3 linked regions of the Drosophila melanogaster genome follow. The protein of the gene in region 1 interacts with the protein of each later gene in a pairwise test. Each region holds a gene or a part of one and is shown in the gene's direction. Other genes may lie near its edges.

Region 1 (10,534 bases):
ATTTAGATGTGAACGAGGAGAACGATTCGTTTATCGCCTGGAACGAGGATCAAATAGAGGACCGGACTACACACTTGGAAATCGAACCCTTCACTTTGCTGGGAGTTTGTGCTGGATTGGTGCCCTATCCTCATCACAATCAGAGTCCCAGGAACACCTATCAGTGTGCTATGGGTAAGCAGGCGATGGGAATGATTGGCTATAACCAGAAGAACAGGATTGACTCGCTGATGTATAATCTGGTGTATCCCCATGCTCCTATGGTGAAATCCAAGACTATCGAGCTTACCAACTTTGACAAATTGCCTGCTGGTCAGAATGCCACTGTGGCAGTTATGAGTTACTCTGGCTACGACATCGAAGATGCGCTGATCTTAAACAAGGCGTCGATAGATCGGGGATATGGACGCTGTCTGGTGTACAAAAACTCAAAGTGCACTGTGAAACGGTATGCGAATCAAACCTTCGACAGAATCATGGGTCCCATGAAAGATGCGCTGACGAACAAGGTTATCTTCAAGCACGACGTTCTGGACACTGACGGAATTGTGGCTCCAGGCGAGCAGGTTCAAAACAAACAGATCATGATTAACAAGGAAATGCCCGCGGTAACATCGATGAATCCGCTGCAGGGTCAGTCTGCACAGGTTCCCTACACCGCAGTACCCATTAGCTATAAGGGTCCCGAGCCCAGTTACATCGAACGCGTTATGGTTTCCGCCAATGCCGAGGAAGACTTTCTCATCAAGATCCTGCTGCGCCAGACACGTATCCCCGAGATCGGGGACAAGTTCAGCTCTCGGCACGGACAAAAAGGCGTGACTGGGTTGATTGTTGAACAGGAGGATATGCCCTTTAATGACTTCGGCATCTGCCCGGATATGATAATGAACCCACACGGATTCCCCTCCCGTATGACAGTGGGTAAAACGTTAGAGCTGCTCGGCGGGAAGGCTGGTCTCCTGGAGGGCAAGTTCCACTATGGAACTGCGTTCGGGGGCTCCAAGGTGGAAGACATTCAGGCGGAACTGGAGCGCCATGGTTTCAACTACGTGGGCAAGGACTTTTTCTACTCCGGCATCACAGGAACACCACTGGAGGCCTACATCTACTCGGGACCCGTGTACTACCAAAAACTGAAGCATATGGTGCAGGATAAGATGCATGCCCGTGCCCGGGGACCCAAGGCGGTGCTCACCCGTCAGCCGACGCAGGGCAGGAGTCGTGAGGGTGGCCTTCGTCTGGGCGAAATGGAACGGGATTGTCTCATTTCTTACGGAGCTAGTATGCTGATCATGGAGCGTCTGATGATCTCATCGGATGCCTTTGAGGTGGATGTTTGCCGGACTTGCGGCAGGATGGCCTACTGCTCCTGGTGTCATTTCTGCCAGTCGTCGGCCAATGTCTCTAAGATATCCATGCCGTATGCATGCAAACTGCTCTTCCAGGAGTTGACCAGCATGAATGTGGTGCCGAAAATGATTTTGGAAAACTATTAACGATGCAATGGCCTGAAACCGAATAAAATAATTGTTATATAATAATAATGGTTAATGATGGAAACTAGCTTAGGTTTTCCAATATTTTTGTAAAAACGAATGGTGTGTGAACTCTGGCAAGGGCAAAAATCCTACGCATTCATTAAGTTTCCATGACCGCGAGCTGCAAATGTCAAAATGAAGAGGTTCAAACGAAGTCAGCGAAAGAAAGTCCTCTTGAATTTTAACGAGGTCCTTTTGCATATCAGCTTTCTGTTCGTTAACAGGCAGACGCAAGCTGTTACTGAAAAGGACTGAGCCGTGTTAAATCGCTTATGTTATCCTTTTTTTTTATTGCGCAAAGGATAATTAGTTGTGTCTGCCCTTTTGGCCGAATTTAAAACGTCTGTGTCTGGACAAAAGATTAAGTTGTTAAGATGAAATGTTTTTTGTTATTCTGTTTCTTTGTTTGCTCTTTGTCCTTATAATCCTCTATCTTATGTGTATTTTGTTTTTTGGCTCAGTTAAACTAAACATTCTCGAGCGGCTTGATGCTTCTTAGTAAAACCAATATCGCCAGGCGTTGATTTATTGTTTTCCCTCGATATTGCCTATTGCCTGATTGCCCGTGAGGCAATTACCTGTCACCTGGCTTCGAGGTGGAGCTCAACCCAGATTCCGGCCGATGTGTCAACGTGTCCGTGGTCAATGCACCGCGGTGCATGCACGTGACCTGCGAACTGCAGGCGACACAGCCACCCACACAAGCCAATGTCCTTGTGCGTCCTTTCGAGTGACCTGCGCTTAAAATAGTCACAGCTACCACCCACTGCTGCTTCTCCTCCGCAGGACACGTAGAAGTTACTATGTGCAGTGCAATGACAGCAAACGGGGCAAACTGCCAGCAGCAGAAGCAGCATCAGCATCCGAGGAACCAATGGTGCGCACTAGGATGACAATTTAAGGCTGCCCCATCTCTGATCTCCCCCATACTTGCATGCCCACCTCTTTTCCGGGCTATTCAGTACCGTTTTATACGTGGAAAAACTTTTGAGAATTATATAAAGTTAGTTGATATTCGTATGACTAAAAGAAAACTACTCATTCCTATTTATACCTACATACCTTTATCCTTTATGGAATCCATTTGCTCAATTAGGCGCTGATAAGTATGCAATAAGTTATAGTTTTTATTAGTTTTTAGTATCATAACAGAATCTTTATTTTTCGCCGTGCACAAACTGATGAGAACCCAATCTGGGGCCACCTTCCGGCTTTGGCTTTCCTTTCATGTATTTTGGCCATTTGTCAAAAGTTTGCTTTTTGCTCTTCTTATCTGGACGGTTCGTTGATGTGTGCATGGCAATAGATGTATATAGATTTAAATGGGTGTTGGCCACTTGTGTAGAAAGTTAAGCGTAGTCCAACTGCTCTTTTGGCCGGGTTCCAAGCGGGCGAGGGGATTTCGAATTGACAACACCGGATATCATTGGGCTGATAATGCGCAACCCCTCCCAATGGACTAATTGAATCCGAAAGCACCTTCCGATGGAAATAGAGATTAGATTGCTGGAATCACCTTAACTTTTCAGCCAGGATTGTTCCAGCAAACTCTTTGTGTTTTCTAGGGACTAGGCCACAGCCAAATGTTAACATATTCAGCGAGAGAGAACGTGTTTTTGACTATGTTTGTTTTCTCTTTGTAAGCTTTATGTTTCAATATATTTAAAATTCTAATCTGTTTAGTGTTTTCTTTTAGAAGCACATTATTACCTATTTTACAAAAAATTGATACAATATTAATTAATTAAATAACCAAAATCTACAGGGAATAATTTATAAAAAAAAAAATATAAAAAAAAAAAGTGTTAGGCTTCAAAAATATGTTTACTTATCATGATTAAAAAGAAACATGGCCAATAGGACATAAAACAAATATTATTTGAACCTATCAGTTAACATTCATTTAAAAGCGAGCACTCGCAGTTCGAACTCAACATCTGTTAGAAGCCCTTTCTCTGCGTATAAAAGGCAGTGCTTTTGAGCAAAACGCGCTCATTTCAAAACCGGTGCTCATCGCAACGAAAGCTCCGCTGCGGAGCCGAGAAAATATTGTTAATTCCCATTTGAAGTGCAGCTTGTGGAAGGAAATTCCAAGTTTGTTTGTTCGGACGCCGAGTGCAAGTGCAAGAAGCAAGCGAAAAGTAATCAAATCTATAGAAAAGTCATTTAATGTGGAGCAATTAAGCCTGGAAATAAAGTGCATAGTGAATAAGTAATTTAGTTGGAGCAAACAAAGCCATGGAGACTGCAGCGAACTCGGGCGACTCCAAAAAGCCTTTCAAAGTGAGTTCCCCCTGTAATTGTAAATGGAAATAAAGGCCGCAGACGAACAATTGCATTTTAAGTGCATGCATTATTTTCCTGGCATGTCCATTTTTGGGCGTTGTTGTTTTCGCCTTTGTTGTTGTTGGCCGCGTGCTGCGTTCGCTACTTTTTTTCCTTTTTTTTTGGATTCTTATGGAAACTGGGTTGAACTTCAGAACTCAAGAGAGCCAAAAGCTCAAGCTAAGAGAGTGCCGAAAGCTCAGTAATAAGCATTAACTGCCTGAAATTTGACTTTGCAAATTCAAAAACACTATTTAGTTGCTTTCTTTCTCTTTGTCCTTTTTTTTACATGTTTGTCTAGCTTTGCATTTGCCTTTTGATTCGAGTATTGGGAATTGTTTGCCTTTAGCATTTGTTTTACTTGACTGCTGGGCCATTGTTTCCTGTTTAATTTGTTTATCTGCCGCTTAAACAGCAGAAAGCTGTTTAAAGTATTATGGGGATGTAAAAAACGTGCTTAAGGTTGCAGAAAACCACTGGAAGTACATGCAGCTGACAACTCAAAGGAAACCAATAAACCACAAAGCTATTTAAATTGTCTGTGAAACACAGAAAACAACTTTCGTAAAACATGACTGGAGATAACATCCAGGAATTCCCTCCCCCACTTTATCCATTAAAATGCCGCTCCTTATTAAAATATTTAATTCAAAAACCACCAAACGCAAATCGGCTTAAAAGCTGTCAAATACCATGACAGCCATGAAAATGCCATTAAAAAGGGAAAACTTTTCATCCCGACATGTCGCTGTAATTAGCCAACAGCCACGCCCACGACCCGCCTCAGGCATTTTGTTAATAATTTATTAAACAATCTACATAATGCCGCGGCATAGTTCAAAAGCAATTTAAAGTTGTCGCCTAATTTCCCCAGCGACTCGAAAATCTGCGGCCTACGCCCATCAAATATTAAAATGTCCTGCGACTTGTGGATTCTGCCCGCATCTTGGATGCAGATGATAGAGTTCCTGGCACGTCTCCTTCGGCTGCTCCTAAAACGGAGCCAGACGCCGGAGGTCGTTGCACGTTCATCTACGTACGTATGTGTGGACCAGGACCCTCGGGTCCTGATGGCTGAGCAGCTCGAGTTAGTTGAGATTTATAAGCCCTCAACTCGCTGCTGCTCTACCAATTTGCCCAAGTCGTTTTGCATACACTTTTGTGTATAAACTGGTCTTCTAGAAAAACACTTAACTGATTTCATCTAGACTTTCACATACATTAGCCTGAACTTGTAGTGATGCTAGTTTGGAAATTTGTATCTTAAACAGTAGCAAGTAGGTAACATTTGTGTTTGCTCATTTCAATATTTAAATATTATTCTTATATTTAAATATTAAAAAATAAAGTTTTACTTACCACGATGTGCCAAAAATTTGCTCTTAATGATATAACCTAATAGCATTTCCATTCAAGAAACAACTTGAAACACTTTTGAAACATGTTTACTTTCCGAATAAATCTTGTTTCTGATTTGTATAAGCTTTGTATAATTTTGCGGGTAATTAGATAAACTGCTAATTGAATTGCGACCGCTTGAAAAATCGACGCCACTTGAAAAATCAACTAATGCGATCGACTAAAACTTTTGACAAGTTTCCGAACAAAAACTATGCTTTTGTTTTCGATGCTGCCGCGACTCCCACTTGTCAAATGCGCCAGTAGTTGGGCAAAGTTTTCATTGTTACAAAGTTCTAGCCCCACACGCCGCATTCATGATATGATTAATATTTGGAGCTTTCGCGGCACAAAAGTTATGTGGCTTTAAGTATTTATAAGATAATTTAGGGACGACCTCCTCCGCTATCTGAGCAAATGGAATTGGGATGATAGAGCAGCTAGGCGCACGAGTAAAATGAAATGTTCGAAATGCAAACTCGAGTACAATTTCATTTAGTCACGGTGCTCTCAAATATTCATGAAGGACCTCAAGGAGTTGCACGCTGTCCGACGTTTCGGGGCTATAAATTCTGGGTGGAATGCATTCGTGCCGCTTGCTCCCTTAAAGTTGCGCCTCCTTGAGCCTCCATCTGGACGGGTCTAATTTATGTTTCGTTTAACCTTAGTGCTGAGGCATCATTTAACATCGCATGCAAGTTTAATAGAGCCAAAGGCTTGCGTCCTTCGTCCTTGCAACCGGCGAACAGCACTAACCTATGGCATTCGCGAAGGAGCATGCAGCATGAAGAATGCTGACATGCATAACTTGTCAAATAAAAAGAAAATTTAAAAGGATACGCCAGGGAATCGGGGAGTGGGAGATAAACGACAAATATTTGCACCGCAGCTGCTAGAGTGCATGTCAAACTGCGTTCGAGATCTCGAGCAAAAGTAGAGGAGCTCATGGAACTCGGCATTCGCAACTGAAATATGCACAAAGTCGTCGGGCTGTGGGAGGCACTTTAAGGTGGTGACATCCCCCACCGGGAAAAAGCCGTCCATAAATCTCAATTAGAGCAAATGGACATTTGACAGCAGGACATGACGTGGTCGCAAATATTGCGTTCATTTATTCATTGCGATTTTTCGGGGAATGGAAAACAATCAGCGTCGAAATGTGGTTGTGTATTTATTATTTAGCAACTTGCGCTACTATTTATCTTTTCTCTTTGTTTAATGGAATTTTCAAAGATTGCCTAATTAAATAACTATAAAAACAGGGTAAAGTTTGCGTTGAAAAGAGAAACAGACTGAATAATTAAGTGCAAGCGGGAGGATAATGAATAAATCAGGCGGAAAGTTTCCATAGTTTCTCCATTCCGTTCACGTTGTTGTCTCAAGAAAAAGGGTGCAGCTAAAGGAAAATTTACAACTTTTCCCATTTCGATGTTTTTCCGTTTTCTTATTTTGGGTGCCGACGATGTGAATATTTTATAGGACCTCAGTTGTTTCCCATCTGACATTAATTTATTATTCATTTGATGAGCGGGGCCATGTGTAACTGCTACTGTCTCCGTAATTGCAAACGTGTAATGGTTTATTATTCCCTTTTCCCGGCACTGTCCTTCTGCGTTTTTATGGCCAGGTCAAGGACGTAACACGCAACATTAAGAAGGCTGTCTGCGCCTCCAGTCTGGAGGAGATCCGCAGCAAGGTGGCGGAGAAGTTCGAGAAGTGCGACCACCTGCCCACCATCCACCTGGACTCCGACGGCACGGAGATCGATGATGAGGAGTACTTTCGCACCCTCGACGAGAATACGGAACTGGTGGCCGTCTTTCCCGGAGAACATTGGATCGATGTGAGTAGCCCTTAAATAAAAGGAAAAGGAAAACAGGCACTTAAAAATAATTATATCAGCACCTTTTTTATTTAAATCACCTCAATAAATTCGTTTTGCGATTGTGTAATTTTCATTTCTCAAAGTGAACACCGCTTAATTGGATAGCTCATTTTATGTGTCCCTCCTTTTATCTGCCATAATGACTAATTGCATTATTTCTTGAATGCCATGAAAGAGCTCCATGAGCATGGGACCAAAGCCAGGAAGATTAAATTAAATGCTATCTGCACTCTGTTTATAGCCCACTCACTACGTGACGATAACCACTCCACATGGCAACGAGGCAGGAACTGGAAACGGAGAGCTGAACGGAGGAGGCGAGGGCGACACCACCGATGCCAACAACTCGGAGTCGGCTCGCATCCGCCAGTTGGTGGGCCAGCTGCAGAACAACCTCTGCAACGTGTCCGTGATGAACGATGCCGATCTGGACTCACTCTCCAACATGGATCCCAACTCGTTGGTGGACATCACGGGAAAGGAGTTTATGGAGCAGCTCAAGGATGCGGGAAGGTGAGTTTAATTCCTTTCCCATATACCACTTAATTGTAGCATGATTTCATGACTTTAGGCCATTGTGTGCCAAGCGGAATGCCGAGGATCGTTTAAATCTGCTGAAGCTATTGAAAGCTGGTGCCATTTTCTGCTCGGAACGTTATCCCGAGGATGCGGAGGCCATTGACCGGGAGATTGGACGGCAGTTGAACGAGGCGGAGAGTGGACAGATGAGCACCACAACGACGAGCAACACCCGCACCATCGAGGTGGTGCAGTGCGACAATCAAAACACGACGATAACAATTACGGTGGGCGAGGCCACCACCACTTGCGCCACAGCCAGTGGAGCGATGGGATCCTCCGCTGCCGAAGCGGCTGCCAATGAGGCCAATGCCAATCCAAATAGAAATCCAAATGCCAACGGCGACATCTGACTGCCCATTTTGGGCAGTCTTAGGTAAAGTCTGCCGGCGGAAAACTAACGCAACTGGGTGCGCCAATCAAAATCAAGAGCCAAAAGGATATACCGAAGACATCAGTCCTGCAACATTGGGTTAACATAAATCGTATTTGTAGCATGTAATTAGGCACTGCGAAATCAGCAAAAACGAAACGGAGACGAAATCAAGTCATTGAAAATGCTTCATAGTATCTAAGAGCAAATGAAAGTTAACGAACAATACACGTACTAGATTTAAACACCGGGTCACGAGGCTCAAGAGAACAAGAGGCCCGCGCAGATTTGAAAAGTCTTTTAGCAATCACAGTCAGCGGAATCGTATTTAACCGCATATACACGAGTCACACCAAGCCGTACTAGATGAATAATAATCAAAGGTTAGCGAAATAAGTATTATACTTGAGGTAGAATCCCACAACCAGAGCGAACCCCAATTGGATGGAGTTGTCCCAGGAAACTGTTGATTTGCTTACCGTGTAAATTGTGTTACGAATAGTAGGTAGAGTGGAAACGCACATCAAATATTGTTTTTAGACCAATGCCATTGTGAATGTCATTCGTTAAAGGCCAATTGAGACTGACTGAATTTATGTGTAATAGGTTTTTTCGTGGTTTGAGCGGTTCGGGAAAGATCGGATGGAAGCCTCCAGCGCTGCTGCCCTGTCCTCCCAGAATCCCCGTCTTCCCGCCCCCGAATCCATAGCCAAATGAATTTAAGCGACAGCGCAAACATTGTTAGCTAATTAAACAATAATGGAACACAATAACGCAAATTGCAATTGCCCAATCAAAGTTGGTAACTGTAACTGTCTACAATTCGAATAAGCAATAAGGGAAACCGTAAACGTAAACGAAATCTAAAACCGAATGCAAACAGTGAACAATTATTAAATATAGTGAAAAGCATACAGTAAATGCAAGTGAAAACCCCGAGGCAAACTATATACACGAAACCAAGTAATAAATAAATGATTATTAAACTAAAGTTGATTGAACTAGCATAACTGGCAAACGGGGCGTATGCGCAACGCACAAAGCGTGTGCAACAGGGCGTATGGACTGCATCCTGCTCTTCCGCTGGCAAAAGAGAGTTTCCCCTTCCTTCACCGCTTCTTCCATTTCCCTTTTTTCCAGTTCGAGAGAGCAAGAGAGTGGGAGTCCTACACCTGCTGCTGCCATATAATTGCATTACTCGACGCCATTCTCTTTTGCCATTCAACTTCCTTCGTGACGTCACTGCACCATGACGTTTGCAGGTCCTGGCTAGCTGATTGCGATGGCCTACTAACACAGTTCAAAGCTCCCGGGTGACCCAAATTCGTGACGACAGCGCCCCACAGCAAGGGTCTCTTTGTGGGCGTGGCCCTGGCTTTGATGAATTGAATCCAGCGTCCTGTGGCCTTTGCATACTCAATATCCCCTACTAACACAGCACATCCCTTTTTCGGTTCCCATTCCTTGGCTGCTCTTTTAATTTGCGCCCTCGACGATTTTCATCCTGCTGGCAGGGGAAAAAAGAAAAATCATGGGGCGAAAAGTGCCCAAAAATATTAAAAATGTAACTGAAAATCGCTTTGACTGCTTTTGATGTGTATGATGGCATTTACGGTGGGCTGCCTGGCCAAGAAATTGTCACACACACTTGAGTTTGTAATTCTTTTGATGTTGTCCTGCAGATTAAGAGGAAGTGCCGGAAGAGGAAATGGAAACTTAATCGAAAGCAATCTGAGCTTCGAGCGAACCGATTTTGGTCCTTTGAATAAAAAAAGACTCTTATTGAAAATTATTCAGTAGTCAGGCATTTTATTTAACAAGTCTAGTACGAATAATTTAGATAAAAAGTTATACAATTAGTTAGAAAATTACGTTCAAGTAAAAATCTTAAGACTTCATTTCAAGTAAATTTTGTACGTTTGTTTCCTAAACGTAGACAACAATTTTTAACACGGTAATTTCGAACGCTTCATAGGTTGCTTGCGGTAAGCACCACCAAGTACTTTTCTGGACGAGATCCGTTTCACCTTGAACAATCGACCATCTATCTCGGCACATGAGAAAAACTTGGTGCGGGCCGGAAAATAGATCGTGACAGTTCCGCACTTGGTACAGTTCACAGCGCGATCTCCGTAAAGAGTGCTTTTCCGTTTATGGATCCTTGCCCTTTTCCTTTTTTTCACTGATCTCGATGCTTTGCATTCTGGCTGCTTATATTTATGTTCCCGATTTAAAATCCTCGAACTACTGCAGCGCTGGGACTCTTGAACCTCTTTGGTTTCTTTCACATTTTCCTCAACGTTTTCAGGTGATTGCGGTAATGGAGGACCTCCTTCATCAGTTGCGGCTTGTGTTTCTACACTTGGAAGCTATTCAATTGCGTGAAATTCGTGTGTACGTTTGTGATGTGTCAATACTCACCGGAAAATTTTC
Region 2 (7,451 bases), on another chromosome or scaffold:
CACCCGACAAAGAATCTTTTATTTATTTTTTAATTGAAACTTCATGTTTTGCCAGTTGGGGTTGTGAAGTCACCTAAGGGAAAATAAGCTAAACTTATTCATTATGTGGCCCTTTCTGAAACGGATTTCTCCTATTTGGTCCCTTCTTTCGATAAGGATGTGCATTATCTCGCATTTTCTGAAAGGGATGGCTACCCTTTGCTTCTTTCGCATTTGATGATTTCACATTTCGACGTGTATGATTCGAACGTTCTAATTCGAACTTGTCCTTTGTCAGCTGTCTATATTTCAAGTCCTTTAGGGCAGATTTAAGTGTTGCATTCTTTTTCGTTAAATTGAAACCCAAAGTGAGTTGCTTTCGGAAAAAGTTCCGCTCCTTAAAAGTGAAGTTCTCAACGTCCGTGGAGAGCTGTTGTTTTCTTTCCGTGGAGGGCTTCTCATCGTTGAAGGGCTCCCATGTAGTATCCTGCGACCGGTTGGCTTCTATGACATTTCGACGGTGGTTCTTCTGACGCTGCTGCATGAACTGCCTTGCGTCCTCGCTGTCCACATCCTGGTGTCCCCGGTCCGAAGAATCCGTAATTATGTCGTTCTTCACATGCTGCCAGGGCGTCGCAGTAGCTTGTGGAACGAGCGCTGGTTTCGGTTGGACATACTTCTTTGGCTTGAACTTGGTTTTGCCCCAGTCCTTGGTGCGGCTCTGCAATTGACGTTCATGGCGATCATTATCTTCTGTTTTCTTCGGATTGGTAGAATTCATAGCGTTGTTATTTGTGGTTAAACTGAATATCGTCCATCTGACCATCTGAGGTGCCAGTTTGAGAAACTATCGAATCTAGCTATATATGTTAAATCTTATAAAAACCTTCCATTGGTCACTTCACATTTTAGTCCATTACATGTATTATGTCACATATTGTCACAGTATTATATATATATATTATATTATATATAAGGTATTCAAACTTAATATACATATAATGAATAGCAGTTTTGGCTTGAAAGAAGCCACTTCGGCAGTCCCACCAACAATCGGATCTTATCGATAACCCCAATCGGCTCAACACGTGCGCCGCAACTAGGCGGTTTTATAAATATTAACAATTCCATAATGCACAACAGTGGAGGACAATCCGGCTGGAACCTTTCAGGAGAGGAAAGAAAACCGTTTTCGAATTACGGCCGCAACAATCAGCAGAGGCGCAGCAGTGGAGGCGGGGGAAGAGGCAGCCACAGCCAAAATCGCGCCGCCAATGGAAACTGGCCAGACGCTGGATCGGAAGGTGGGCAGAATGGAAACGCGTTTAACAAGTTCAGAGATCCCCAACAGGAGCTGGATAATCATCAGCCAAACAAGAGAGGGGGCCGAAGAAATAGAGGCGGTGGCGGAGGAGGTGGTGGTTGGGGTGGCAGGCGAGGGAACCGCGGCAGAGATTCCAATAGGCGTGGTGGCCGTAACAACTCGTGGCAACCTAAGGATCAGCATGTTAGTCCTGGCCAAAGTAACATGCTGTACTTCGATAATGTGGGGGACTTTACCGAAGACCCACCTCTGCCTCGATCCTCGCCTGCTCCCTCCTCTCTCAGACAGGAGAGCCTGCCACCTGTTACTTTCGCTGCGGACTTGACGCCACCACCACCTGTATCTGTTGCACCACCTGATGTGGCTGTTACGCCAGAAGAACCTACTGTGCCGCTAATCAATATCAAGAAGGAGAAAGAAATGGAGCACAAGTCAAAAATAAAGCAATTTGTCAAAGCGGAGCCCAAATCTCCTAAAAAGAAGAAGGTTAACTCCTCTAGGTCGTCATCTACTTCGGGAGAGGAGTCTGAACCCGAACCAGGGGAAATGGTAGTCAACACTAAGGCAGTGGTGGTGCCGTCCCCAAAAGCGAAGGCCATCAAAACACCTGTAGCATCAACTCCGAAACCAAAGGCTGTAAAACCAGTTTCGTCCTCCGACTCCTCAACTTCGGACAGCGACACCGATGATGAACAGAGTCATCCGCCGGCAAAGAGTAAAAAGATGGAAAAGAACACCGAGGAGGATGTTGTCTGCATGGGCTCTCAGGAGCGCCAGTTTACCATTACCGATGAGGAGGAAAGCACCGAACCTGAAGACGACAAGAAGGCCAGAAAGCAAAAAAACAAGGGTAAAACCGTGGATGTGTGTGGCATATGCGACAAGAAGGTAAATATTTTAAAAGAATGTTACCCAATTTAAAAAAATCTCTTCCAGGGCCACACCTCCTTCCAGTGTCAGATGATATGTCGTAATTGCTCCGGTAGTTATCATGGTCTCAAAAACTGTCCAAACCCGCCCAATCTAAATATTGCCATCCAGTCGTTTGTGGAGTTTGCCATGCAGCAAATGACTGCCTTTCATTGCGAGCAAGGATTTGGATTTCCTGCTGGCACAGTCACAGCTCCAGTTTCAGCAAAACCCAAAAAGGACAAAAAGGCGTCAATAAAAAAGATAAAGAAGTCTTCACAGAAAAGGATGAAGGTGGAGCCGAAAGATCATGACGAAGAAGATGACGAGGAAGATGACGACGAAGATGAAGATGACAGCAGCGAGAGCGATGACTCGGAGTCCAGCGAAGAGCCTCACCCAGCTCCTGTGTCCAAACAGAAGCGGAAACGAGGCACCAAAGCCTCCGTATCGGCCGCAGCCAGTCTACCTCCTCAAGTGTTTCCATTTCCCCTTCTAGGCGCCCCGGGCGCCCCTTTTAACTCCATGATGTATTCTTATAGAGCTCCGTTTAATTTTTCTAAATAGTTATAGCGTGAGTTAGTTGTAAAGGAACGTGAAAGATAAATACATTTTCAATACCAATGGATTTAGTTCTTTCATTTTAATATTTACGGAATTTAGGAATTACGCCTCTGTTGTTTAAAACGAGAATGAAGTTGAATTAATTTTTGTACAATACATACCGGGGAATAATATCGATAACCAGGGCAGACCTATTTATCGAAATGTATCAGCCGACGCAGCCCTGGTTTTGTGTTTTGCCAGCTGTTGCTTCCACGCTTTTGAATAAAAAATCAAATTAATAGTGTTTACTAGGAAAAACGTATGAAACTCAGTGAAAAAACTTTGCAAAAAACTTTTGGGTAAGTGTATTTACCTAAATTTATTGGTTTTCTACGATTAAATCTCAAGAGCTTTGAGTTTTTAACTAAAGGATCCAGGTGTCTGATTTTTAAAGTTATACTCAACTTATTTATAAGGAAGCATTTTAAACGATAAAAGAAAACATAGTACATAAATTTAGGACATCATATTGAAAATGAATATTCCTGGACTCTGAAGTATGTAAGTGCCTCGGAAACGAAATATACAAGTAATTTTTAGGGCTACTTCCCGCCAGAGCTAAGGCATCCTGCTTTAAGATCAATTTTCCTTGCCCTGTCTGCTTGACAGGATCCTAGGGTATGCAGAGAGCCAGGGTCTCGCGTTCCTGCTCGGTGCCGCAGGACACTGGGTGATTCTGGCCCCGGGGATCGATGCCTGGCTTGAGCATCGTCTGCTGCAGCTCCCAGATGATTTCACACGACTGGACGCTCACGGCCAGCTTAAGCACCGACTGATAGTTGAGCGGATTAACCGCATAGCTGAGGATACCCCTGGCAATCTGCTCGAACAAATAGTTCCTGTCAAGCAGAAGGAGCTCCTCTCGTACCTCCATCATACGGTTTTCAAAGTGGCACTGAATCGCTGCAAATACCAGCTTGTCCAGACCCACCAATAGATCCCGCTTAAACTTCACCAGGTAGTGCTCTATGAACACGATCTGGTTGCGATTTAGATGCGGCAGGCGCACCTTGTCCTGTATTACCTGTTCGCCGATCTGGCTGACAACCAGAGAGGCTAATGATCCCGCCGGAGTGGCCCGACGTTCGCTGCACGGGCGGACGTCCACGAACGGATGAATCTCGTAGCTGCCCACGCCAATGGTGCTGGCTACACCGCTAAATGATACATGGGAGGCGCGCGAGTGGTTTTTCGGCTGTTTGGCCATCGACGGAGGCACTTCCATGGCTTTGTGGTCTCTGGCGAATCCAATGATCTGATAAGCTTTCTGCAGGCGGAATGAATTAGTGGTATGTCAAGAGGGACTGCTATTAACACTTACGTAGTGCACATATTTCTTTGCATCGCAGACAAAATCCTTAATGCGCGAGATCAGCACCTGCAAGGCACACTCATCCTCGCTGAGATCGTCGTTTAAACCAGAAATTATGTAGTCCAGTATATATTGTGCCGCCTTATAGATGGGGTCGTCTGGTGCGAAGCTGAGAGCGGTCTGACCCTCCATGGCAATGGCTGCATTCAAGGCGTAACAAAGATCACTGTCTAACAATCCCTCAAAGGTGGCCTGATACTCATCGCAGAATGATGGCTTGCGTTCCTGAAGTGTCGACTTCTTCTTCTTGCGGCGCTTTCTTTTGGGCTGACGAGCAGTGATGGCCTTTTGAGCTCTTTCCTTAATCTCGTCCTGAATCCGTTGCCACTTTTCTCTGTAATGAGCCTTGTGCCTGTCTATAAACGCCTCTCGCTCTTTTTCCACCTCCTGCAGGAGGTATTCGATCCTACGCTGATTAGCAATTCGCTCATCAAGTCGCTTCCTCCACGACTGAATCTGGTGCTCAGTGTTCTTTACCAGCCGTTGTTTCCTCAGGATTCGCATGTTTTTGTTGAACCGATCCTTTTTGAACTGGAAGAGCTTCTTCTGTTTGATCAATAGCTTTCTCATCAAATCCTGGCACATGCTTATGTGGGCAGCTACACGCATGTTTGTCAGCATCTTGCGGTGCTCCAGCAACATATTCTGCATGGTGGCCAGGTTCTCTAAGCGCTTAAACTTCTCATATGTGATATTCAGCAGATGGACCTTTCTTTCGTGGCGTTCCTGCTCCTGTAGTTTCTTTCTGGCAAGAACCTCCTCAGTGCACTGGTGACGGGCTGCGAGATTCTGGTGATCCTTTTTTGTGATGGACTCCGCGTTGGCGATCAGCATTCGATCATATTGCTCCGACTCGCGCCGCTTGTATGCCTGCAAAATGTAGTACAACTGCGATTTGTGCAGCTCCTGGCGATGCTGATTGAAGTCCTTCAGATTGCATATTACATCGTTGTCCTGCGTTATCTCACCGTTTTCCCTCAACCGCTTCAGATTACGCTCATTGGAGTAGAACGTCTTTAGGTTGGAGTCGTGTAGCGGATTGTACTCCGGGATGTGTTCGGTAACGGAACACTCAAACTCCTGTTTACCGCTCTTGAACTGGTGGATATGTATGAATGATGATGATAAAGTAAGGTTCTAGCTGATTTTCTACTGGTAGCACTTACGTCCTGTCCGATCTTGTTCTTGGAGAATATGACCTGATTGCCGGGACATTTGAGCATTGGCAGCTTGCAATTAAGAGGGATCAGCTCCCATCCGGGTAGACTGTTGATGGGTAGTCCAGTCTTGTAGGAGATCATCTTTAGCAGGGCCGGGTTTCCGGACACCTTATTTCGCCGCGGCAGCGACAAAATATCGATCATCTTGTCGCTCTAAACTTACAGTAGCCTAAATTATTTGTGCTTAACATTTACTCTCTGAGCGTTCCAAGAAAACTAATTTCGAACAGTGCCTTATGAAAATGTAGTAGCCCCGCCTACTTTAACAATATTCTATACTTTTTCCCTGCCGATTGTATATTGACTTTAGTCAATAGTTTGCAATATAAAATATATATATTCTTAAGCAGTCTCAACAACCGTTTTATAGCTATCTGCATGAATCTGTGGTCCCATCCTAAGAGGCCGAATCGGGATCGAAGCTGTCATTACCCTGGCTCCAGCAGATTCCAGGGCGTTAGTTCGGCTTACATAAATCCTCGGTTGACTATCCTCCTCAATATTTCGCTGTCTCTATCCGGGCTTATGTTCCACCCGCTTTTTCCGACCGCTGACCCAGTTTGGCGTCCGTGGATGATTCTAGATGCGGGCATCTCGGGCATAAATATTTACCAATCGTTCGGTCCGGCGCCAACATGTCTGCGTAGGGCTTTCCTTGGAAAAGAACACCCACTCTCACTAGCCGTCTTCCATGTAAATAAAATCACATCAAGTGCTGAAATGTACTTGCTGCAGCACGTGCTCCAAATATTCTCTCGAGTGTACTTTCCATTTCATCTAACACCTAGGACACCCCTCTTACTTTCCGACCCCGCTGCCGATGGAATAAATAAAAAATGATGGTGGCATCCGAAAACAGGCAAACTTATGCTGGAAAATGAAAGGTGCGTGCCAATCGCTAGCGGTCGTCTGTGTTCCTATTTCCATTTAGCGTTTCAAAATAGTTACTTCCTCCTGTGATATGGGTCCCTAGGGATGGCTGCGTGAGTCATTCGGCTAAATGGCTAGTTAGTTTTGGGAATCAAAAGTAGTGCTTTAACTTTTATTGAGACAACGTTTATAGACATGTGGTACACACAATGATAATATAATAAGTGGCAGGCTGTTTACCACATTCGTTGAATGCAACTAAGCAGACAGTTATTAACAATATGTCTTGGCCACATATCAATTCAGGCCTTTGACTTGTAACGTAAATTCTGATATAGAATTTTAAGTAAATTGAGTGTGGGTGCCCTTTTTCTTAAAACCCCCTTGGTGGGCCAATGAAAATCCTCTCCCGCTAATAATTTTCCTATGACTTACAATACCGGCAAAACCGCACACAGCTGTCCTCAACTCTCCCTTTCACCCTCCTCTGGTTGCTTGCCACTATAGATTGAAAAGCGTCGTCGTTCAACTGGTAGGCTTTTTGTTTTCAATCAGACGAAGCTTTCGGTTCGGTGTTTGAGAGCGACTTCGAACCACGGGAGAGAAATTGAGCTTAGAACACTAGCTTACATAGTTCACTGTTTTTTAAACCCATCTGTTTCTGTTTGACAACAGAAAAAAGCAACTCCGTTGCTTTAGCAATGCGAAATGGTCGTCAAACCTGGTCGAACATAAGGGAGCACTGAAAAAAATTCTACTTGAAAATGTAAATGTAATATATTATATAAAACTTATACGAATTTATGGAATTCAGCATTATATATAAAGAAGTACGTTTCACTACAGTTTCCACTATCAGTTTTGCACTTAATGTCGTTATTTTTCTGAGTGCTGCAGCACCGTTCGTTTTAAATCAACGATACGAGCTTCCAAGTTGGTTACTCTGTGCGGAGTTGTTTCGTTTGGTCGCGTCGGTCGAAGGAGTCGGTTGTTCGTTTTCGTGCGCTCAAGTAACGGTAAGCGCGAATGCCTTCGCCAGTTCTACTGTTATTTTACCTCGGGACGGCTATGCGTCCCTGCGTCCCTGCGCTTTCCTGTCTCTGTGTATGTGTGGGAGACAAACAAATAGCAAAACGAGAAGGAAAACCATAGAGAGGAATTCCGCAAAAAG
Region 3 (5,877 bases), on another chromosome or scaffold:
TTATGTGCAAACTTAGGGTTAGTTTCCGTGGTGTGTTTGGATTAGTATATATGTATATATGTATGCAGTACGTGGTATCGTGTCTCTGTGCGACTAGAAAGATCTGATCGGCTCGAATAGAATATATAACCTATGCAAAATATACTCGTAATCGTAATTGCAATCGTGGTGCGACTTATCCAGTCAGTTCCTAAATACAAGTGTCTCGTTATGCATGTAACTCTATATGTGGATAAAGTGGGGATTGTGTGTGGTATGTGGTATGGTGTAAGTGGTGTGTGCGGTGCGTGGTGTGGTGTGGTGTGGCGTGGCCCGTGTGGGTGGCTACCTAAGCCAGCAACCCCCCACCCAAGGGTGCTGCCCCAAGGCGAGTATTTGTCTGTCACCGTCGTCTCCGTTCACTTCAGCTCGACGCAATGTGACCCGGGTCACATGGCCATGCCATCTGGCCATCTGGCTCTTTGGCCATCCGATGCTTACATAACGCGACACTTCTCCTTGGCCCCGCCGCTGGCGCTGGCCCCCGCATCGCCGTTCTCCGGTATCGAGCCGTTCGTGTCCTTGGACTTCTTCTCCTTCTTCTGCTTCTTCTGCTTCTTGGTGTCCAGTTGCAGGGAGACGGTGCGCGTCTTCTCCATGTTGAGCAGCTCCTGAAACAGCTCGGTCACATTGTGGTTCGTCTTGGCCGACGTCTCCATGAACGATATGCTCCAGGTGGTCGCCTGGGCCTGACCCTCCGCTTGGGAGACCTGTGGATGGCACATTTGGATTAGAGGTTTTCTTAAAGAGATGATTTTTCTGTTTAAAATCCCCCTTGAAGATTGTAACTTAGATCTTAGATTAAGCATGTATGTATATGACGGATCAGATGGAACATCCTCTAACCTCTCGCAACTCGGCGGTCTCATCACACTTGTTGCCCACCAACATTACGGGTATGTTGGGAATGTCGGCGCCCTGTGGACACACAACGTATTAGTACATGAGAAATGATTGTCAGGCAGTGGACCAACCTTCAGCTCCTTGATAAGCGCCCAGATGGGTCGCAGCTCCTCCAGACTCTGCTTGGAGCACACCGAGTAGACCAGGATGAAGGCGTGCCCCTTCGAGATGGACAGCCTCTGCATAGCCGGGAATTGATGCGATCCCGTGGTGTCCGTGATTTGCAGCGTGCAGATGTTCTTGTTGCAGCTTATGACCTGTGCGAAGACCAGCGGATTATGTGAGTAATCTCTAGCACCAGGCGTCCCACCCACCTGTCTGTACGTATCCTCGATTGTTGGGATGTAGCTTTCGCGGAACGTGCCCTTTATGAAGCGCAGCACCAGTGAGCTCTTGCCCACGCCGCCGGCTCCAAAAACCACCACGCGGTAATCGTTGCTCTGCTCCGGTGCAGCGCGCGTCACCTGATTCTTCTGCTCCGTCATCCCGGTTACCGATACGGATTCGAGTGGGTCGAACGCGGTCGCGTATATCAAACTCGGAGTGGAAATCGGAATAGAGAGAAGCAGGAGCTGAAGCTTGTTGGCTTGCTGTCGGGCGCTGGTGGAATGTTCTACTTGGGCGCCATGCTTTCGTTTATCTGCAACAATTAAGAGCAAATCAGCTTGGCCACAACGCCCACGCACGCACAACCTTTCCGGTTCGCCAGTTGGTGGATGTGGGTGGTAGGGACGTGATGGGCGTGGGCGTGGGTGGCACTACCACTTTAGGGTCCCGCAACAAAAACAAAATGCGAAAGAAAGTTAACTTCCGAAAGCCGATGGTGATATACACTAGTAGGCATGTTAACACACTTTATTAGTTGAATTGGTTTTAAAATGTATATTCCTTTACACTAAAAAACTCTAAGAACCTTTTAAATTGATAATGAGTTGATTATATTATATATGATTCTATTATATAAACCCGCATAACTCCTTGGTTGACTTACAACTTCCTTATCAAAGTTGATAGAACTCCTTTTTAATAGTATATTTAATAACGGCAAACAATGTGTGTGAGAGTATCCCGCTAATTTTAGACATGTGGCAAGGAAGGGTATTGATTTTTCGCTCCACTGGCACTGATCGGCACCAGCCTCTCCTCATCATTATCGCCACGATTATGATTGCCCATGACCGGGTGCGGTATAAATAGGCCTGCTTTGAAGACAAGTGTCCCATTCGGAACGGTTTTCTATCCCATCCGCCCCCAAACACACACACACACACACAATACACACTAGCCGTAACTGCTCACTTCCGCTTGATTGTCCTGGTGGACCCGTGTGACACCTTTGGCCCGCCCCCTTCAACCGACTCGCCTTGCGATTTTCCGACGTTTTGTTTTCCCGCACACTCGTTGTTTTGTATGTGTTTTTTTTTCCACCTCGTACACCTCACGCGCTTTGCTCTTGGATTTTCCTCGCTTTATTTTGGCTTGGATTTATCGATTTTATCTGCACTGCACTTGCCACCCACACGCGAGAATCGAGGGAAAAGCCAGTAATGGCCACCGCATCCATATACCCGTTAATTGGGATGGCCCCAAAGGATCTGTGGGAGTCCCAACTATTGCGTAGCAGTATTTACTTGCATTTCGTTGCACTGGAATTCGTTGCAGGACAGGATGTGGTGCCCGATGTGACTAGCTCTTTGCTGCAGGCCGTCCTATCCTCTGGTTCCGATAAGAGACCCAGAACTCCGGCCCCCCACCGCCCACCGCCACCCCCATACATATGTGGTACGCAAGTAAGAGTGCCTGCGCATGCCCCATGTGCCCCACCAAGAGCTTTGCATCCCATACAAGTCCCCAAAGTGGAGAACCGAACCAATTCTTCGCGGGCAGAACAAAAGCTTCTGCACACGTCTCCACTCGAATTTGGAGCCGGCCGGCGTGTGCAAAAGAGGTGAATCGAACGAAAGACCCGTGTGTAAAGCCGCGTTTCCAAAATGTATAAAACCGAGAGCATCTGGCCAATGTGCATCAGTTGTGGTCAGCAGCAAAATCAAGTGAATCATCTCAGTGCAACTAAAGGCCTAAATAGCCCATACCTACCTTTTTTGTAAACAAGTGAACAAGTTCGAGGAAATACAACTCAATCAAGATGCCTTGCCCATGCGGAAGCGGTAAGTTCGCAGTCTGGTGTGATCCTTTAGGATATCACAGATCTTTCAGAGAAATGGTATTATACTAGTATAAAAATTCAATGGTGATTCAATAGTATAAAAATTCAAGCTGAAACTATCTGCAAAGTGAAATCTCTGAGTTCGTCTCTCTAAGAAAAGAAGTTCTTCAACTGCGTTTTATAAAATGGAACACTAATGTTATATGGCTTATGGATTACAGGATGTACCAGCATGTACTAATTTTTAAATTCTACTTCTTTCCAGGATGCAAATGCGCCAGCCAGGCCACCAAGGGATCCTGCAACTGCGGATCTGACTGCAAGTGCGGCGGCGACAAGAAATCCGCCTGCGGCTGCTCCGAGTGAGCTTTCCCCCAAAAAAGATCTGGAGTAGAGGCGCTGCATCTTGTCTCTCTACACACCCTGCAATAAATGTCCAATTAAAGTAATTGATGCCTAACTGCGTCTTTTCGGGTTGCATAATCAATTGGTCTGCGGCATTCTAGGTTAGATTCGCTTTTATTGGAGGTAGCTTCTAGCTACGTGGTCGGCAATATGCGTCGTGGAAATGGGATGGTCAAGTGTTTTCCACAATGTGCATATACATATGTACATAACACTAAAGTCAGTTGAGCAATATGGTAATCTGAGATGCCTCACTTCTGAAGCGACTGAGGGATTGAGTTTCAAAGCACAGCGGCTTGAACTCATGACTTGTAGATAAAAATACAGTTGCGGGCGTTAGAATATAGCCGCTATCGAATGGATAATATTAAAGAATACTAGCTTTAGAAATAATAAAAATATATTACCCTATCAAATTTAAAACGATTTTAGGCATAACAACGAAATGGGTAATGAAAGTTCATATTTAAATCGGCTTCCATTATTTTATAGGTGATTCATAGAAATATATGATTGTAGACTTATTATTGCTCAGTCTGTTTTGTGAAATGCCTCGTTTATAGCGCAAAAGTGCCATATAGTTTTAGATGTAATATGATCGCGCAATTAACATGAAAGTGTAAGAACCCGGCATATAAACGATATACCAACGAAATAAGTCAAGAACAAGAACCCCACGGCAGTCGGGTGAAGTGACCTAGGAGGCGTAGGGTTACGGGAGACCTCCACCTCAGACCTCCAGTGGAAAAGCCGCAGATGGAGTTTATGGTTCGTATACATACATATATACTTTATTTACTTTGCTAGCCTACGAATGCAGCTTAGGTCTAATACTAGGCTAGGTGAACAATACTTAATGGAGAATTACGAATGGATGGGGTGCGCAGTATACAAAGGTGCATACATATGTATGTCTATGAATGGTATGGGTGTGGGCATATCTTCTTTTTGGTTATCAGCGTGGCCAAACAAACCCGGGCGAGATTTCACGGCGGTTTCGAAATGGTTCTGTCGAAGGTGCTCGACGCACGTTGAAAAATAGTGGGAAATTCACGGTTCGCCCTACTTGATAACGATATTCTGTGCCAGTCGCTTCACGAAGTCCACGTTGAGAAAGTTGGCCATCAGTGTGAGCACGGACTTCTTGGGCGGCCGGCAGTGGCGCAGTCCCGCCTCCTGGCAGCACACATTCGGAAAGCAATCCAAGGTGGAGGTGCACGCCTTGGGATGAAGGTCAAAGATGGGCGGCGGCGGGGCTGTGCACTCCAGGTACTCTGTAACTGGAAAAGCGCAAGGCTTCGATTGATTTCGGTTATCATACGGAAAACTTTTAACTTACGATAGTCGAAGGATCGCTTCACTGGCACTGGAGCTGTTTCCAACTCCGGCTGCGAGGTGCGGCAGTATCTCCTACGCCCATCCGGGCAACAGACCCTTGGCCAGCAGTCCATGTCTGTGGAGCACTCCTGGACGTCCCACCAGAGCTCGGCGAGCGGTCTACTCGGGCACTTGCGAGGTATCAAGCCCAGAATGGCTAGCAAGAGCAATAAATTGAATAATATCTATAGCAGCTAAGGATTAAACCCACTTACGAGCATGTGGAGTCTCCTCTAGCGGCTTTGGAACGCCAGAGACACAGCTGCTTGCTCCAAAGATATCACAGCACAGCTCATCCCGTTGCCACACGGCACAGTCTCGATCCGCCTTGCAGATCTTGGGGAATAGCTGGAACCTCACCTCGTTCTCCCGCGGACAATCGAACCTCAAGCGCAGCTCGGCAGCCGACCTCTTGCCCTTCTCCGTTTCCCTATCCCTGTTCTTATCCTGGTTGTCGCGTGGGAAGTTCAAGGTGGGCAGTGCAATGCGAAAGGGTCCATCTGTAGTGGGTTTTTGTGTGCTAGTTGTTGTTGCGCTTCGACTAGTTGTACTCGTTCTCTGATCCATCGGTTTCCTAGTGGTCTTGGCCACTTTTCGTTGGCCGGACTTTTCGTCCTTGGGACTAAACTTTTTCGGCGGATGGGCCTGCTTGGTGGGCGGACGCACTGCCACCAGACTCTGCTGGCCGAAACTCCAGAAGTTCCGATTAAAGAAGTTGAAGCCGTTGGCCAGGCTGGGACGCGGAGCTGGGGATTGGATGTGGAAAGCGGGTTTACCAGTGTGCTTAATGACCATTAGTGTTTCTGCTCCAAATAGCAGACATTACACGTCAAGTAAAGCGCAGTTCCCGCCGCTCATGAAGAGCGTTTGATTTGGCTTTTTTGTTTTTTTTTTTTGTTTTATACTTCTGTTTCGTTATTAAGCCAGGCCAACAATGGATCAGCAATAGCGCAGCCTGTTGGCAAACGTTTCCCACCCACTCCATG

What was found. The genes of interacting proteins can lie anywhere in the genome.
Region 2: the proteins of Drep1 (region 1) and Dus1 interact in a two-hybrid assay, tested with the Drosophila melanogaster proteins (one large-scale study listed by BioGRID).
Region 3: the proteins of Drep1 (region 1) and MtnA interact in a two-hybrid assay, tested with the Drosophila melanogaster proteins (one large-scale study listed by BioGRID).

The regions. Positions count from the first base shown.
Region 1 is NT_033778.4:12,041,085-12,051,618, forward strand, and holds Drep1 (DNA fragmentation factor-related protein 1), read left to right. Parts: upstream 1-3,527; 5' UTR 3,528-3,779; coding exon 3,780-3,824; intron 3,825-6,891; coding exon 6,892-7,107; intron 7,108-7,390; coding exon 7,391-7,662; intron 7,663-7,720; coding exon 7,721-8,081; coding exon of another isoform or gene 8,082-8,108; 3' UTR 8,109-9,088; downstream 9,089-10,534. Other genes in the region: Polr3B (RNA polymerase III subunit B), read left to right, coding at 1-1,499; CG30039 (uncharacterized protein), read right to left, coding at 10,048-10,470, 10,523-10,534.
Region 2 is NT_033779.5:267,295-274,745, reverse strand, and holds the start of Dus1 (dihydrouridine synthase 1), read left to right. Parts: upstream 1-3,001; 5' UTR 3,002-3,117; intron 3,118-3,119; exon of another isoform or gene 3,120-3,431; coding exon of another isoform or gene 3,432-4,085; intron 4,086-4,139; coding exon of another isoform or gene 4,140-5,288; intron 5,289-5,356; coding exon of another isoform or gene 5,357-5,554; exon of another isoform or gene 5,555-5,658; intron 5,659-7,240; exon of another isoform or gene 7,241-7,451. Other genes in the region: CG11555 (uncharacterized protein), read right to left, coding at 95-760; mbm (mushroom body miniature), read left to right, coding at 1,112-2,191, 2,240-2,779; CG3345 (uncharacterized protein), read right to left, coding at 3,432-4,085, 4,140-5,288, 5,357-5,554.
Region 3 is NT_033777.3:9,781,457-9,787,333, reverse strand, and holds MtnA (metallothionein A), read left to right. Parts: upstream 1-2,963; 5' UTR 2,964-3,088; coding exon 3,089-3,110; intron 3,111-3,374; coding exon 3,375-3,475; 3' UTR 3,476-3,927; downstream 3,928-5,877. Other genes in the region: CG8500 (uncharacterized protein), read right to left, coding at 477-749, 886-957, 1,014-1,199, 1,257-1,427; CG12947 (uncharacterized protein), read right to left, coding at 4,577-4,794, 4,854-5,048, 5,107-5,637. UniProt on the Drosophila melanogaster protein: This protein binds cations of several transition elements. It is thought to be involved in detoxification processes.